Cricetulus griseus: one gene and its partners. The protein of the gene in region 2 interacts with the protein of the main gene of each other region in a pairwise test. Links are inferred from orthologs where the notes say so. Each region holds a gene or a part of one and is shown on either strand. Other genes may lie near its edges. The genes, in order: Trim10, Ttc23 and Crebzf.

Evidence for each region.
Region 1: the proteins of Ttc23 (region 2) and Trim10 interact in binary tests that used the Homo sapiens proteins (3 or more experiments, as listed by UniProt). The two-hybrid records come from large-scale screens. The link is inferred for Cricetulus griseus from reciprocal best matches to the Homo sapiens genes TTC23 and TRIM10.
Region 3: the proteins of Ttc23 (region 2) and Crebzf interact in binary tests that used the Homo sapiens proteins (3 or more experiments, as listed by UniProt). The two-hybrid records come from large-scale screens. The link is inferred for Cricetulus griseus from reciprocal best matches to the Homo sapiens genes TTC23 and CREBZF.

Annotation. Positions count from the first base shown.
Region 1 is NW_023276806.1:228,876,562-228,880,208, forward strand, and holds part of Trim10 (tripartite motif-containing protein 10), read right to left. Parts: coding exon 3,634-3,647; intron 2,140-3,633; coding exon 2,044-2,139; intron 1,473-2,043; coding exon 1,242-1,472; intron 490-1,241; coding exon 467-489; intron 1-466. UniProt on the Homo sapiens protein: E3 ligase that plays an essential role in the differentiation and survival of terminal erythroid cells. May directly bind to PTEN and promote its ubiquitination, resulting in its proteasomal degradation and activation of hypertrophic signaling.
Region 2 is NC_048596.1:129,512,583-129,516,229, forward strand, and holds part of Ttc23 (tetratricopeptide repeat protein 23), read right to left. Parts: intron 2,670-3,647; coding exon 2,542-2,669; intron 1-2,541. UniProt on the Homo sapiens protein: Participates positively in the ciliary Hedgehog (Hh) signaling.
Region 3 is NC_048596.1:108,656,788-108,661,116, forward strand, and holds the start of Crebzf (CREB/ATF bZIP transcription factor), read right to left. Parts: upstream 2,818-4,329; 5' UTR 2,586-2,817; coding exon 1,516-2,585; coding exon of another isoform or gene 1,512-1,515; exon of another isoform or gene 1,301-1,511; coding exon 1,285-1,300; 3' UTR 1,223-1,284; exon of another isoform or gene 985-1,222; 3' UTR 870-984; exon of another isoform or gene 190-869; 3' UTR 1-189.

The DNA of each region.
Region 1 (3,647 bases), on a different chromosome or scaffold from region 2:
TATGGGGAAAAATACTTAATTTTTGCATGTATGTAGTGTGACACATGCATGCAGTGTCCATGGAGACCAGAAGAGGGCATAGGATCCACTGTAACTAGAGATGTGTGTGTGAAATGCTATATGGGTTCTGGGAACTGAGCCCAGGGTCTTTACAACAGCTCTTAACCACTGAGCCATCTCTCTGGCCCCTAGAATTATTCTGTTTTAAAAATGATGTCTCCAGGCTGCTATCTTCTTCTAACAAGGCCTGGAGCAGCAACTTCCCATCCTCTCAGACAGACCCTACTGCTACACAAGTGGGTAGATCAACAGCAGTGCATGAGAACACATTAGGGCAAGCATAGATTTACACATGACTGTGTGCCCTTCATGTAAGAGTGTGGTTTATTTGCACAGCAATAACTAGGTGGGTGGACCGCGGGTGGCTATCTACGTGAAAAGAAGAAATAGGCATTGTATCACTGACCTTATTAGAGTGCTTCTGATATCCTGGGAGGGAGGGAGGGAGGGAGGGAGGGAGGAGGGAGGGAGGGAGGGAGAAAGAGAGAGAGAGAGAGAGAGAGAGAGAGAGAGAGAGAGAGAGAGAGAGAGAGAGATTGATTCAGTTTCTGGCTTTTCTCTTCTACTTTTGTTATACACACACACAAAAACAAAAACAAAAACAAAAACAAATGCCATATTCCTAGCCCCAGATCCATGGGGACCAAAATCCAGCACCCAACTCCTTTGCTTCATGGACAGAGTTGGTGATATGACCAACTTCTAGCAACAGGCAAAAATATGCAAGTCCTACACCAAGGTCTCTTATTTCCCAGTACCCAGTGCATCCCTGTAAATCCTGTTGCTGGAACCCCAGTAACTCTCCTCTAGTTCAAGGAGGCAATTCAGTAAAGGGAGAACTTCCTGGCCAGTGGAGGGGACATTCAAGTTATGAAAATTTTGCTTTGGAAACAGCACCTGGCAGTTGTCTGCACAGTACTTGGTAATTTTCAATAGCAACTTCTACCTTATTTTACTGTTGGATCCTCACTTCTTCCCATTCTATGGATGCCAGGAAAGAAGACCAAGGCCAGAGAGTACCATGACCAGGGAATTCTTGGTGAGGCACAGACTAGAATGTAGCACCCACCCCCACCCCCACCCCCGGTCCTGTGTTCCACAACCTATCTTGGATGCAGAGCCAGGTATGTAAAGGAAGTGATTCCAGAGACCCCCGGGGGTGAGGGCAGGCCGGGTCTCACCGTCAGGAGGCCCCTCGCTGGCCGCTTGTTCTTCTCCTCCAGCTCCTCGATCAGGGTGCTGAACCGGCAGATCTCCCCTGTGGCCAGGGAATCAAACTCCTCCTGTTGCTTCAGGATGTCCCCATCCAACCTCTCCAGCTGAGCTAAAAGGACACTCTGTTGTTCCTCTAGGAACTGACTCAGATGTGCGAACTGGGAAATCACCTGTTGTCTCTTGGTGGCCACCTGAGTCTGAGAAGGAAGTGAGACCCAAGAAGGACGTTTTCCTCTCCCCACAGCAGAATCCCATCCCCCACCCACAATCCTCCTCTCCCCTTCCTTTCCCTTACACATTTCCACTTGCCTCTTGATCTATACCCACACCTCCCAAGGTTTGGTGACAAAATCACAGCCCCCCACTCCCACTTGTTGCTTGACCCCCATATGGATGTGGAGCTGCAGCTGGTATTCTTTCTGCCTGCCACCCCATTTCTCATGAGGCCCGACATGGCCCCATTGCCATTACTGTGGCTTCTGAAAGGGGCCCCGAGACACCAGAGATGCCTGGCATCTTGCCAGGCAGGAAGCACACATTGTGTACACACCATTAAGGTGTTAGAGGCAGGATTACACTAATTCCTGCAGTAAGTGATTCAGTAAGGAGATGAATCTTAATCTCCATTCTACAGGCAAGTAAGCTAAAGCTAGAGAGTTGCTCAAGATGGAAGAGTTAACGTCAGAGTCATAACACCTTCAAGTATCTGTCTGTTCGGTGGCCCCAGACTCTGGAGCAAGGGCTGGGCCTGGGGAGGTGGAGACCTACCAGGAGCACCTGTATCCTTTTGTTTTCTCTTGACTGGATTTCTTGAATCTCCGTTCTCTCTTTCCTTAGACACATAAGACAGTTTTGTATTTGTTCCTGGGGAGAAGGAGCATAAAATATTAAGATGGAGAAAGTAACTACAAAGGGACATCACTCTCTTCAATCTCTGGACATGAAATGCCCTGGAGATAAATGCGAACCCTGGCACCTTGAGAGACTCAGAGTCTTCTTCCTTATTCTGATTTTGAGGCAGGATTTCATGTAGCCCAGACTTACCTCAAACTCAGGATCCTCCTGCCTCAGCACCACCAGGCCTGGCCTTGATGCTTGTTCCTCTTGCTTTATGCTCCAGAGACGTTGACCAGAGTTTACCCCCTTCTCATGAGCCATCAAAGGTCATGACTTTGCTTACCCTTTGAGCCCTTCTTCAGGTTAAACAACTACCTTCTTTTGCATGTGGCAAGTATTACCTATGACCTGAGTGCTGCATGTTCTTTGCTGAAACTGAAATCATGTCATACAAAGGAAATAGATTCAAATAACATCTTCTTTTTTTTGCTAGAACCAATAATCTAGAAATGATTCGATATGAGAAGGAATTTCACACAAAAATAATTGATGCACTATTTTATAAATTGTTCTAGAAGAGAATTAGGAACAACCAAACACATAGATACCCACATGTGTGTTTGAGAACACTGATAGAAAACCTGGGGTTGTAGCTCAGTTATTAAAGTGCTTGGTTAGCATGTAAGAAACCCTGGGTTCAGTCCCTAACACTTCATAAATCATGTATGGTAGCACATCCCTATAATCCCAGCATTCAAGGGGGTAAAGGCAGGAGACTCAGAAATTCAAGGTCATCCTAGGCTGTATAATTAGTCTGAGGCAATGCTCCACTAAGACCTGTCTTTAAAAAAATAAAAATAAAAACAGAATACATAGAAAAATTTCACTATCAAAAGATCATTAATAAATGCTACATCATACATATATACACACCTGCTTATATCAAAACACAGTATAAAAGCAACTAAAACCAGCAATATACTCATTTAATGAAAACCAAATGTGTTCCCCCAACTAGCTTATTCACACCAGGAACATTTAGTTACAAGCATGTTTCAAATACATCACACTCAGACCAGCCCTCCACACAGAAGACATTCACTCTTGTAAACATACAAACATGGGCATTCCCTGAAATGCAAACCTCAGACACACTTAAACTGATACAGGGCGCGCGCACGCGCGCGCGCGCGCGCACGCACGCACGCACACACACACACACACACACACACACACACACACACACACACTTGATGACTCATTCGTTCAGAAAGGATTTACTGAGCTCCTGCTATTTATGGGTCACAAGGAAACAGCATAGAACTTGCTCTTAATCATAACCTTGTGCTTTTCTGTGCTTGAGTCTCTTGCCTGGGTGATCAAGGTAAGGAGAAAGAATTTGGAGTCAGGATACCCCTTCCACCCCAGAATTGACAACACCTTTCTATTTCCCTTGGTCCAATCCAGCTCCCACAAGGGTCACCCAGTGCCCTTTCCTACCCTGCAGGGATCTTCTCCTACCCTGTAGGGACCTG
Region 2 (3,647 bases):
TTTTTAGGTCCATGCTCTTCTCTCTCCCTGCACACTACTGATCGTGAGTAAGAGAAAACTAGGCTGTGCTTCTGGACTTTCTGTTCTCACGGTGAATGCTTAGGAAGCCGAAAGTAAACATTCCATGGAGCATGACATCATGCTTTGTCCTATTTATTTGTGCCAACATGGAATAGGAAAATAGGAGCTGGTCAGAAAATAATATTCCCCGATTATTAATGTTTGCAGATACTAAGACATACAGGGGGAAAGCCTGAACTTCCAACACATCCTGAAATTCTTACTGGATCTTCCACCTGAAAACATAGTTATGGTTGTACAACGTGAATGCTGAATTCAACAGTCAAATAAAGCCAGGACCACAGAAAGGGATTCCCATAGCATAGCCCTGGTATGGGTGGATGGGGGCACATCCCGATTCCATGTCGTAGACAGGCAGACATGTGAATGAAGAACATGGCTCCTTTTGGGCAGTAACGTGAGTTAGTGACTGGGTTGGCACATTAAGGGTGGTAATGAGCAGAAATCAACTTCTCAGGCAAAGCAACTGTGTAACTTGCCAAGTGTGGCTCATTGCAGCACTCAGAGGTCTGGGATCTCCATGCATCCCCCTCCCAACACCTGTGAGGTGGCTTTCCCATGGGATTTGACTGCTGGGCTTTGGGAAGTCAGTCAGTGATGGGGAGAAGGGCTGGAGGTTCTTCTCCTGAATGAAGCTTTTGACACTGCTTCTGTTGACTAGGGAGACTAGGATGGGTGCGTGTCAAGTTAAAAGACACATTCTGATGACAATGGAAAGCAGATGGGAAAACTTAATGGGAAGAACCAGAATTATTAAGAGCAGTCATAGCAGGGAGGTGTTAGAAAGGGGCAGTATGGGCTGGGGAGGCAGATGGTCTTTAAAAGTACCTCAAGCATAAGGGCCTGAGTTCAATCCCCAGAACCCACATAAAAATGCCGGCTGTGGTGGTGTGCACCTGTAATCCCAGAGCTAGGGAGGCAAAGACAGAAGGCTCCTGGAGCTTGCTGGGCAGTTGGTGGTGGCAAAACCTTTAATCCTGAGCACTCAGGAGGCAGAGGCAGGGGGAGCTCTTTGAGTTCGAGGCCAGCCCTGGACTATAGAGCGAGTGCCAGGATAGGCTTCAAAGCAATACAAAGAAACCCTATCTCAAAACAAAACAAAACAAAACAAAACAAAACAAAACATCAGCAGACTCTGGACATTGGGAGGGTCATGCCAGCTTTGCCATGAGGGTATTAAGGTTCATTGGAGAACCAAATGAGTGTTCGATGTTCAGGTGTGCTTTCAGAATCTGAACAGATTAAGGTAAAAGTGGGGAGGAAGCACCTGGGAAAGAGAAGATTCTAGAGTGGTCCTGATGAGATGATGGATGGTGGGAGGGGAAATGTTAAACCATGTGTGTGTTGAGGAAACTTGGAGGTGAATGAGGAACCTGTGAAGTCCCCATAGGACTAAGATGGAGTCTCGGGTAGGAATCCGAGGCCCTAGCAGGGCCCTGTATCTTTGGCTGGGTGATTCAGAAGAACAGTGAAACACTATTTGTTATGGTGACTGTGCATTTACTCTGGCCTGACAAATGGAATGAGTGCAGAATAAAAGCCCGTGGTCCTTAACTGAGAGAAAAGAAGTCAAGGATGAGGAAAGCGTAGTAGGGAGAAGACAACAAAGACAACTCCAGACAACAAAGAAAGACTACTTTTCATCTTCATCTCCAAGATCTGCTATGCTAGACTGAAAACACACATACACACATAACACACACACACACACACATACACACACACACACATACACACACACACACACACACACACCACACACATGCACACATCACATATACACACACATACCACACACACACCACACACATACACATACATCACACATGCACACACATACCACACACACACACACACACACACACACACACACACACACACACACAGCACACAGCACACACACACACACACCACACACCTCTAAATTATCTACTTTCTTTTCCTGGAGCTGCTCTGACTTACACGGAAATTTTTTTTAGTATACTATAAGCTCTGGCTTTGTCCTACCTTTCTAAGTCATGTTGAGCATGCCTTTACAGACCAGCAGCAGAGACAGTGAGCTGGGACCTCTGTGCTGGGTAGTTTTTGTTAGAAATGAAAATTCCATTCAATATACAGAAGAGGAAAAAAGGAATTGACCACACTGAGGGCCACAGACCACCCCAGCTGGAAGAACCTTGGGCTTCAGTGAGGGCTCTTGCCCACTGAGTTCTCAAGGTTTTCAACCCTTCGTGACCTTTTGTAGTTGGATGTAGCATTTAATTTCTCACTGTTTTGTTTCTAAGAGGAAGCATGTGGATGCTGCCTGAGAGTGGCTCCTTGATTTACTTACCTGGGTCTCTCCAGAGGCTAGGACATGCCCTGTATATACTAGGTGTTTAACAGATGGTTGAAGGCTGAAAGAGTAGTCTTTGGCATCCCGTAGGAATAGCTTGACAATTGTGATCTAAACTCACTTACTTCTTTTTGTCCAGTGATCTGCAGAAAATTGCAAAATTCATCTTGAATGGAAAGGAACTTGACTCTTCCTGCTCCTTCAGAATCCTTCACATGAGTCATGCTTTCCTGAAAATACTGCTCGGCCATATCTGAAAAGAGCACAGAAGAACATTTTGAAAATAGCTCAAAGATCCAAAGCAGAGATGGAGCAAATATGTTGTTAGTGACGGTGAAAGGTTTAAAAATAACCATTTGGATAAGAGAAGCCAGTTCGAGGGACTCTCTTGTGCCCGTTAATCTGCTCATTTTATCAGAAACTATTTTCACCTCAGAAGGATACAGCAAGCTATTTTTCTTGTTTTTCAGACATTTTAGTGTTCTTGGTGATATGAGGGGCAGGGAGGGGGAAGCTATCCCAGAGCCGAACACACTAGGATATTGATAGAACATTTTCTCTGCCTAGAAATCAGTCACTCCTCACAACCCATATAGTTCTGTGGACTCTTTATATTTCTTTAACACACACACACACACCAAAAAAAAAAAACAAAAACAAAAAACAAAACTAGAAAATCTAGCTGATACACTAGCGAAGAAAAATCCCAACCATTCTAAACTCTTTTGGGGGGCGAGTTTCAAGACAGGGTTTCTCTGTGGCTTTGGAGGCTGTCCTGGAACTAGCTCTTGTAGACCAGGCTGGTCTTGAACTCACAGAGATCTGCCTGCCTCTGCCTCCTGAGTGTGCTGGGACTCAAGGTGTGTGCCACCACTGCCTGGCTCCATTCTAAACTCTTAAACACACTGATTGATAAAATAAAAATGGTTTGACATAAATGATAATCAGAAGAGCAAGAGAAGGAAGATCGAAGGCATGGAAAATGGAAAGGGAATTGAAGACCAGAGCTGTGACTACACAACCCTCTGCTGTTGAAACAAACACCTGAGATAAATCAGCATAAAGTAAGGACAGCTAATGGTACTCACACTGTTGGAGGTTCCAGCCTGTGCCCCAGCCTGTGGCTCTGCTGCGTCCCGTGATGGGGCAATGGTAAGAGTGTCATGGTAACTAGAAGTGAAGGGAATCAGGGAGGGGCTGGGCTCCCATGTCACTGCCTAGAGGTTCTGCC
Region 3 (4,329 bases), about 21 Mb from region 2:
CTTACGTGTAAGATAACTTACATCTTTGGACTGCTGGAAAATACTTAATTATGAACATTTTAAAAATAAAAGACAGCAGAAGCCCTGATATTACCTCTTTTTCCTTATTTCTTATACTACCTTTTAAAATAAAGCAGGAAATGTGGCCAGCAGCTGGTCCCGTCTCTTCTGCCCCAACAGCTGTATCCACTTTAGCACAAAGAAAAACAAGGATGCTAAATACGTATATCCTTTATCAAACAGTGATGTTTCACAAAGAATTTAATGTCTCTTGCACTTCAAGACATCATAACACAGATTTAGACAAGTGGACAATAAACAGTATTTCAAGGGAAGAATATTTTCCATCTTTGGAAAACAGCCTCAGTCATATCATTAAGTGGCCAGAACTATTTAATTTTAAAAAGGCAAAAGTTTTAGAAATATGGAAAATAAGATTCTTTGTGAAGCCTCACTTTACATGTTTTCATTCACTTTTCACAACCTTCAATATCTAATCATACACAAATTTAGCCTAAATTTTAATACAACAAAAATAAATGCTTTCAACAATTTCTTCATACTTAATTACTGTGCTGGTCCTCAAACATTTCATTAATCATTCTTCCTCTAATTAAAACACAGAAATCTGATGGGTATGTTAACTTCCAAGTTTTCAAGTGATGAAATATTGGGATCTTATATAGATTGTATTTATTTTCTACTGAAAATTAGAAGGCATTCTTAAGTATTTTAAGAGATTTTTCATCTCCAGAAAAATACCCACATTTGTGCATGCCTCAAATACTTATTGTCAACCTCTGAAAAGTTGCTACAATTGGAATTCCAATTTGCACCTTGTACAACTCGGAACTTCCATTCAACTTCACCTGTTTCACTGTCTCCAAACTGTATCTCTATTAGCAGGTTTCAGTGTACAGTTGGAACCGATGTCATCCAAGGCCATGTCCACACTGGGGACAGAAGAGCTAGGTACACGCAACTCTGAACAAGGGGACACATTTAACAGCTAGTTCAACCAAAAGCAATTTAAGTACATTATTGACCAGCACAAGTCTGTTTCCAGGGTGGACAGGGCCCAAATTAAGATTCCCCTCCCACCTTTCAAAAAGAAAAAAGAAACAAAAAAATATATCACACACACACACAAATTGAGATGTTGCCCATTAAAAGTAGACTAAGCAGCAGAGCATGAGCGTTACGTGAAGAGATGGATCCTTACCAGGTTGTGAGGCGGGAACGACTGTTCTGTAACCCCTACAACGGAGCCTGGCAGGAAGGAAATCACCTAAAAAAGAAACTGTCAGAGAGATTTAATAGTCACAGGTTATCATTAGGAGTTGGTTACAGTGTCACATTCATGCTTTTAGCTAAACACTTAATAGATTTAATATTACTTTTTTTTTTCCGCCTCTGAAATGTGTCCGGTGAAGATGTCCCACTAAAGGTGTTTTACATGGTGTAAGGGAGTAGAAAGGGGTAAACGCGGATAAAGAGCAGATTACTTGACCCTACATTTTAAGAGACGACGACGCCTTCCGAGCGCACGCCGAGCAGAACTCCACCGACACCTTATCCTTGTCCACATGGAGACACACTCCTCCCGCCGCGTCGTCCTCTTCCAGCAGCTCCGGCGGCTGCTTCCCCACCGGCAGGGCGTAGTCATGGTCACCGGCGGGCGAGTCTCTGAAGAGCGAGGTGGTCAGCCGCAGTCCCACGCCGCTCAGCCGGCTCAGCAGGCGAGCCAGTCCCGTCTCGTTGGCCAGGACAGCCCGTAGGTAGCGACTCTCCTCCTGCAGTGCTTGCACGCGTTTGCCCAGCTCCCGATTCTCGGCCCGCAGCTCCTGGTTCTCGGCGGCCAGTCCCCGGACTCGACTCTCCAGCCCCATCACGTACTCCTTCTTCTTGAGCCGATTAAGACGGGCAGCGGCCGCCGCCGCCTTCCGGGGACTCTTGGTCGCCGCTGGGTTGTTGTCGTTGGTGCCACCGCCTCCTCCCGGGGACTTTCTCCGCCTCTTTTCCGCGCTGCCGCGGTCACCGCCGCTGCTGCTGCAGCCCCCGATGCCGTTCAGCAGCCTCTGCAGCAAGTCAGAAAAGCGCTGCATCTCGGCAGCCGCGCTCTCGTCGTCGTCGTCCCCCCTCAACAGGCCGCCGCTATCCGAGCCTCCGCCGGACGAGGACAGGGGCCCGGGCGAGCTGAGCCCGGGCTCCAGGTGCCAGTCCGGTTGCCGAGGGTCCAGCAGATCGGCCAGTTCCAGCCCAGAGAGAAAGTCCATGTCCTCCGGCTCTTCCTTGGGGACCATGGCGATTGCGTCCTCCTCTTCCTCCTCCATCTTCACTGGCGAGGGCGCGGGCGCGCGCACGGCCACGCTGCCGCGGCTCCCCCTCCGGGCCTCCTCCGGCTCGCCCCCGTCGCCGCGCCGCGGCTCGCGGCCAGACGATCCGGACCTTGACGTCTCCGCCCCCGCGGCGGCCGCAGTCGGGTCCCCGGGCGGCGCGCGCGTGGCGGCCGGCTCCCGGCTATCGCGGTGGCTCGACGAATCGCGACCCGAGGCTGCCAGCAGCTTGGTCAGGCTGTGCCTCATGGAGCCGGGCGGCGGGCCCGGGTAGGCCGCAGCCCCTCAGACCCCGGGCCCCCCGCGGGCACAGCCACGGCGCGGAACGAACCGCAGGCACCGGGGAAGGTCTGAGTGGCCTCCCGCGGCCGCCCAACCCCCCGCACGAGGCGGGGGGACGGCCGTGGAAGCGAGAAGCGGCGACACCCGCGAGGACCGGGCCGCGCCACCCAGACAGCGGCCTGGCCGGAAGTTACTCGCTCTCCCTACCCCGCCCACCAGCAGCGCGCTCCTCCAGCCAGGATATCGCGAGATTCCGGGTGCTTTCGAGGGGCAGTAATTCTAGCTTTGCGATGATGTCATAGTAACAGCGGCAAAAACAATGAAAACCTACGATTACACTCCCTCATTCATCAGTACTAACTACTACCCAGTATCAGACTCGAAAATCCGACGCTTGACCTCTAGACATATATGACATACATATATATATATATATATATATATATATATATTATATATATATATATATATGGATTTGTGAACACTTGGCTGTTTCTCCCTCAATTGCAAGCAAAACAAACCTGAGGAAATAGCCACCACTAAAACAAAAGACTATCCTTCCTAATCTAGTGTTACCAACCTCAAAGTAATTTATGTGCTGTTCTCTAACTCTCTTAGAAGTCCTTAGTCTCAGATAATCTTTCATACTACTACCACGGCTATTACGATTATTATTTTATTAACATCATTATTTGTTTTTTTGCAACGCGATCACTTCCAGCATTAGCTGGTCTGCTGGGATTGGGTGTCTTGTATAATAGTCTCTTGTTTTGCGGTTTGTCTTGTGCTTGTTCTTTTGTATTTGTTTTTTGTTTTCTTCATTTCTCAAGCTATAGCAATTCCTTCCCCCTTATCTGCTTTTTAAAATGCTGGCTTTTTGAAAATACCAAGTCAGCTGTCTTGAAGAAAACACCACATTCTGAATCTGTGGTTCTGGGTTGTTTATGCTATTTCTCCAGTGCATAACGGATTTGAGACCTGAAGCGTTTACAATATAATGAAATGCTACACCATAGCTCATGTTTTCCAAAGAAAAGCCGATGACAGTACAGCTGAATTCGAGAGAGGAGGAGAGTGGAGAATAGGGCTGCAATGAATCATACAAGTTATTTTAATTAAGCTCAAAATAAATTAGGCTTCCTGGCAGTGTACACACACACACACACACACACACACAGAGGCATGTTATCTTCTAGGGGTCTTGGTCAGGCTGTACTCTGCTAATTAAATTAAAAGCAGGAACAACTCAAACATAGCAGGCAGCAATAAGTAAATTTAATTAAAAATTAAGTACACACACAGGGATTGGTAGTGTTAAATGTTCTCGGTGGCCTAGGATCTGCCCCGGCACCTCATTTCGAACTGACAGACTGATCAATTTATGGAAAGGAGGAGGAGCTGACAGGGCCACAGCTTCAGGTAAACATGTTCTGGACCAGCTTCCAACGGTCAGCTAGAAGGTGTGGAGGGGAAGCTGCTGGCCTGAGAAAAAGCAGGTCATGCCTTTGTCACAGGTTAGAGTGGAGAAGAAGCCCGAAGCTAACAAACTTTATTATTATGTGTTGTTCCTTTTCTTGTCTGTGTACCTATCGGGTTGCTTCTACTTCCTGGTTCCTTAAAAACACACTCTACTTGATCACATATAAAGTACTATGAAGGCAAAATACCTGTCACTCAAAGAGAGTAAGAGATGGTTTACTCTTGTGCTGAA